2 linked regions of the Saccharomyces cerevisiae S288C genome follow. Each later gene encodes a partner of the first gene's protein in a complex. Each region holds a gene or a part of one and is shown in the gene's direction. Other genes may lie near its edges.

Region 1 (2,662 bases):
GAAAATCCTCATTTCATCCATATTAACAATAATTTCAAATGTTTATTTGCATTATTTGAAACTAGGGAAGACAAGCAACGAAACGTTTTTGAAAATTTTGAGTATTTTCAATAAATTTGTAGAGGACTCAGATATTGAAAAAAAGCTACAGCAATTAATACTTGATAAGAAGAGTATTGAGAAGGGCAACGGTTCATCATCTCATGGATCTGCACATGAACAAACACCAGAGTCAAACGACGTTGAAATTGAGGCTACTGCGCCAATTGATGACAATACAGACGATGATAACAAACCGAAGTTATCTGATGTAGAAAAGGATTAAAGATGCTAAGAGATAGTGATGATATTTCATAAATAATGTAATTCTATATATGTTAATTACCTTTTTTGCGAGGCATATTTATGGTGAAGGATAAGTTTTGACCATCAAAGAAGGTTAATGTGGCTGTGGTTTCAGGGTCCATAAAGCTTTTCAATTCATCTTTTTTTTTTTTGTTCTTTTTTTTGATTCCGGTTTCTTTGAAATTTTTTTGATTCGGTAATCTCCGAGCAGAAGGAAGAACGAAGGAAGGAGCACAGACTTAGATTGGTATATATACGCATATGTGGTGTTGAAGAAACATGAAATTGCCCAGTATTCTTAACCCAACTGCACAGAACAAAAACCTGCAGGAAACGAAGATAAATCATGTCGAAAGCTACATATAAGGAACGTGCTGCTACTCATCCTAGTCCTGTTGCTGCCAAGCTATTTAATATCATGCACGAAAAGCAAACAAACTTGTGTGCTTCATTGGATGTTCGTACCACCAAGGAATTACTGGAGTTAGTTGAAGCATTAGGTCCCAAAATTTGTTTACTAAAAACACATGTGGATATCTTGACTGATTTTTCCATGGAGGGCACAGTTAAGCCGCTAAAGGCATTATCCGCCAAGTACAATTTTTTACTCTTCGAAGACAGAAAATTTGCTGACATTGGTAATACAGTCAAATTGCAGTACTCTGCGGGTGTATACAGAATAGCAGAATGGGCAGACATTACGAATGCACACGGTGTGGTGGGCCCAGGTATTGTTAGCGGTTTGAAGCAGGCGGCGGAAGAAGTAACAAAGGAACCTAGAGGCCTTTTGATGTTAGCAGAATTGTCATGCAAGGGCTCCCTAGCTACTGGAGAATATACTAAGGGTACTGTTGACATTGCGAAGAGCGACAAAGATTTTGTTATCGGCTTTATTGCTCAAAGAGACATGGGTGGAAGAGATGAAGGTTACGATTGGTTGATTATGACACCCGGTGTGGGTTTAGATGACAAGGGAGACGCATTGGGTCAACAGTATAGAACCGTGGATGATGTGGTCTCTACAGGATCTGACATTATTATTGTTGGAAGAGGACTATTTGCAAAGGGAAGGGATGCTAAGGTAGAGGGTGAACGTTACAGAAAAGCAGGCTGGGAAGCATATTTGAGAAGATGCGGCCAGCAAAACTAAAAAACTGTATTATAAGTAAATGCATGTATACTAAACTCACAAATTAGAGCTTCAATTTAATTATATCAGTTATTACCCGGGAATCTCGGTCGTAATGATTTCTATAATGACGAAAAAAAAAAAATTGGAAAGAAAAAGCTTCATGGCCTTTATAAAAAGGAACTATCCAATACCTCGCCAGAACCAAGTAACAGTATTTTACGGGGCACAAATCAAGAACAATAAGACAGGACTGTAAAGATGGACGCATTGAACTCCAAAGAACAACAAGAGTTCCAAAAAGTAGTGGAACAAAAGCAAATGAAGGATTTCATGCGTTTGTACTCTAATCTGGTAGAAAGATGTTTCACAGACTGTGTCAATGACTTCACAACATCAAAGCTAACCAATAAGGAACAAACATGCATCATGAAGTGCTCAGAAAAGTTCTTGAAGCATAGCGAACGTGTAGGGCAGCGTTTCCAAGAACAAAACGCTGCCTTGGGACAAGGCTTGGGCCGATAAGGTGTACTGGCGTATATATATCTAATTATGTATCTCTGGTGTAGCCCATTTTTAGCATGTAAATATAAAGAGAAACCATATCTAATCTAACCAAATCCAAACAAAATTCAATAGTTACTATCGCTTTTTTCTTTCTGTATCGCAAATAAGTGAAAATTAAAAAAGAAAGATTAAATTGGAAGTTGGATATGGGCTGGAACAGCAGCAGTAATCGGTATCGGGTTCGCCACTAATGACGTCCTACGATTGCACTCAACAGACCTTGACGCTCACGCCGTAGCGGGCGACAAGTCAAACGGAACAACCGTTGCCGTTCCCATCGGAGTCCGACCTAGGCCGAACTCCGTGAATTTCTGATAACAACGGTCGGTAAAGACTGGTTCCCCAGTATATTTCTTCTCTCAGGAGCAGGGGCCAATGCCAAAAGCGACATTAACCCGGAGGACAAGGCTCCACTGTGTTCCACCGAATTTCCCACCTGATAATATCTGATAACCCGCCCATAGGTGGGGATCCTTCTGTAAACAGGTTTCTTAATCGTAGGAATTACCACTGTTCCACTGCCAATCGCAGCTCCCAGAGTTTCGTTCCCAGCCGCGAGCACCACAGCGTACCATGTGCGCCACGAGGCCTCAAACGTAAAACAATCGAAACGAAAAGAAA
Region 2 (2,760 bases), on another chromosome or scaffold:
CCCGTATTGGAATGTGAAGAGAAAAAAAAAATGATAAGAATTCTAAAAAAAGATACTCTTCGTTCGAATGGATGACTCTAAGAAGGGTAACAGACTTTCAATCTTCAAATAACATTATAATCTCTATTCTAGCCCTTAGAGGAGCATGTCATGCGTTCAGAACCTCCATTAATAGCTTACTTTATAACTTTCTATCAGTCACAAGTTAAACGTCGACAATTTTTGTGGGAAATGGTCTGTTTTTTTTCTTCAGTTAATAAATCTCGTTCTTGACTGCAGGTAATTAATGGTATCGTGATCGTTACCTATGCTTACACACTATAAGAATTTTCTTCGTGAGAATTGGCCCATTTCTCTGGTTCTTCTGAAGAGAGTTTTGCTGACCATCAATCAGCTTTACGAAAATTTACCGCCCAATTTCTTGCCAAAATGCCATCCATATTCCCATTCATTGGAATTCTTTCACTATTTTATCATTTCAATGTTCTTTGTAGCAACAGGCTCTTCTTTTTCACGCTTACTGTGATCATTTGTTATAAGTGCTGGTATTTTCTCTCTTCTGGAATTCCGTGCTATTGATATCACGACATGTGCGCTTCTCATGATTTTGCCGCCCAAGGCACATTTTGCCGTCTGTTTTTAACCTAATATTTATGTCGCGGGTATATTATCATATATTGCGTAAGAGGATGGTATTGCTGATGGGAAGTGGTCAACAAATTCAATAGGCACTGAAATGTAAGGGCTGACAATGTAATTGGATAAAGAAAGGCAACACATGAAAGGAAGAAAAAAAAAACGTTATTTATTATTATGTAAAACTATTGACCTCACCTTTGTGATTCACGCTGTCCTCGTGAAAAAACTTTTTTTGTTTTTGTAGACCTAATAAAAGAACCTTTTTTAACAATGTCCTAACAATAATTTCAACAGTTGCCAAACCTCAAATAGTGTTGGAATAAAAATCCACTATCGTCTATCAACTAATAGTTATATTATCAATATATTATCATATACGGTGTTAAGATGATGACATAAGTTATGAGAAGCTGTCATCGATGTTAGAGGAAGCTGAAGTGCAAGGATTGATAATGTAATAGGATAATGAAACATATAAAACGGAATGAGGAATAATCGTGATATTAGTAAATAGAAATATAGATTCCATTTTGAGGATTCCTATATCCTCGAGGAGAACTTCTAGTATATTCTGTATACCTAATATTATAGCCTTTATCAAAAATGGAATCCCAACAATTATCTCAACATTCACCCATTTCTCAAATAGTATGTTTTGGTGTTAAAGAAGAACATTGGAAACAAAGGAAAGGTAAGCATTAGCCCGGAAACAAAACAAGAGGAAGTAATATACACCTTTTTGGTTAACTTGTTCGTTCAGAAGAGCCCAAGTATGTAATTATTTTTTGCAAATCTTTCCTCAGTAACGATAACGACACGAAGGTAATATTTTAAAACATTTATCAACAAGTCACTAAATATAATCTGGGTCCTATCACTATTAGAGCTTCTATGGCCAAGTTGGTAAGGCGCCACACTAGTAATGTGGAGATCATCGGTTCAAATCCGATTGGAAGCATTTTTTGCATTGATTTCCCAATTCGTAGCTGATGATCACCCTCTGAAGCTATCGGACATTTTTTTTCTTTAATTTTTTCAGCGAGAGAGCTGGCAGTGAACGTACAAGAGCAAGCTCTCTAAAGAACTATTACTCTCCTCGTTCCCCTCTCATGTCTTTTAACAGATAAACAAGCAAAAGAAGGAACTATCATACTTAGAAAAACATGTCTTTCTTAGGTTTCGGTGGTGGTCAGCCTCAATTATCATCTCAACAAAAGATTCAAGCTGCGGAAGCTGAACTAGATTTGGTCACAGACATGTTCAATAAATTGGTTAATAACTGTTATAAAAAATGTATCAATACTTCTTATTCCGAGGGTGAGCTGAATAAGAATGAATCTTCGTGCCTAGACAGATGTGTGGCCAAATATTTTGAGACCAATGTTCAAGTCGGTGAAAACATGCAGAAAATGGGCCAATCATTTAACGCAGCCGGTAAGTTTTAGAAATGTGCATTAAAGCAGTAATGATAAGACGAAAATAAGAAAAGAAATCCATAAGCTGTTTTACTCGACTCAACGTTATAATTAGTATTATTGATTCATATCCTGTATATACAAGTAACATTATACTCTTTTCTGTACTTCATCTTTACCTTTTTATCTTACATGGCACATGTTGTTTGAAAACAAGATCATAGGTGGATAAAGCAAGCCGAATCTAAAAAAAAAAAAATGTCTCTATTGGAAAACTGAATGCATAACGATATTCCCTTTTCATGCAGATAACACTGACTAGTTTCAATTTGAAACGCATCTTCGTGTTATTTCACCGAAACGCACTCGGCTCAGCATGTTAAAAAGCACATCAATTTAGGGCTCTGCGCGTCCTTCTGCGTATTCTTCCTTGTAGAAATGCAATTAAATGGAGAGCAGAAATTTTTTTGTTACATATTGTTTTCCTTAAAGGGAAATATTAAAAAATAGTCTAAAATGAAGAGGATAGTAGAATTCCACCAATTTCTTTACGTTTTATATTATTCGTAATCTTTTGATCTGTTATTCATTTTTTCTTGTCACTCCGTTTCTAACATTTTTGACCATTTCTAAGACCAAACTGAGTAGAAGCTATTCATACTGTAAATTGGTATTTTAGCATCACATCAATAATCCAGAGGTGTAT

Evidence for each region.
Region 2: the proteins of TIM9 (region 1) and TIM10 are in contact, whole or in part, in a cryo-EM structure (PDB 6LO8), measured with the Saccharomyces cerevisiae proteins. Residues at the interface, in NP_010894.1 of Saccharomyces cerevisiae: Glu17 (codon at 1,784), Gln18 (codon at 1,787), Gln20 (codon at 1,793), Met21 (codon at 1,796), Phe24 (codon at 1,805), Met25 (codon at 1,808), Tyr28 (codon at 1,817), Ser29 (codon at 1,820), Asn30 (codon at 1,823), Leu31 (codon at 1,826), Val32 (codon at 1,829), Glu33 (codon at 1,832), Cys35 (codon at 1,838), Phe36 (codon at 1,841), Thr37 (codon at 1,844), Val40 (codon at 1,853), Asn41 (codon at 1,856), Asp42 (codon at 1,859), Phe43 (codon at 1,862), Thr44 (codon at 1,865), Thr45 (codon at 1,868), Ser46 (codon at 1,871), Lys47 (codon at 1,874), Leu48 (codon at 1,877), Glu52 (codon at 1,889), Gln53 (codon at 1,892), Ile56 (codon at 1,901), Met57 (codon at 1,904), Ser60 (codon at 1,913), Glu61 (codon at 1,916); in NP_011869.1 of Saccharomyces cerevisiae: Gln16 (codon at 1,848), Gln20 (codon at 1,860), Leu28 (codon at 1,884), Lys35 (codon at 1,905), Asn39 (codon at 1,917), Lys43 (codon at 1,929), Cys61 (codon at 1,983), Arg64 (codon at 1,992), Cys65 (codon at 1,995), Ala67 (codon at 2,001), Lys68 (codon at 2,004), Tyr69 (codon at 2,007), Glu71 (codon at 2,013), Thr72 (codon at 2,016), Asn73 (codon at 2,019), Gln75 (codon at 2,025), Val76 (codon at 2,028), Gly77 (codon at 2,031), Asn79 (codon at 2,037), Met80 (codon at 2,040), Met83 (codon at 2,049), Phe87 (codon at 2,061).

What each region holds. Positions count from the first base shown.
Region 1 is NC_001137.3:115,476-118,137, forward strand, and holds TIM9 (protein transporter TIM9), read left to right. Parts: upstream 1-1,735; coding exon 1,736-1,999; downstream 2,000-2,662. Other genes in the region: Arf family guanine nucleotide exchange factor GEA2, read left to right, coding at 1-325; URA3 (orotidine-5'-phosphate decarboxylase), read left to right, coding at 692-1,495. UniProt on the Saccharomyces cerevisiae protein: Mitochondrial intermembrane chaperone that participates in the import and insertion of multi-pass transmembrane proteins into the mitochondrial inner membrane.
Region 2 is NC_001140.6:114,944-117,703, reverse strand, and holds TIM10 (protein transporter TIM10), read left to right. Parts: upstream 1-1,802; coding exon 1,803-2,084; downstream 2,085-2,760. UniProt on the Saccharomyces cerevisiae protein: Mitochondrial intermembrane chaperone that participates in the import and insertion of multi-pass transmembrane proteins into the mitochondrial inner membrane.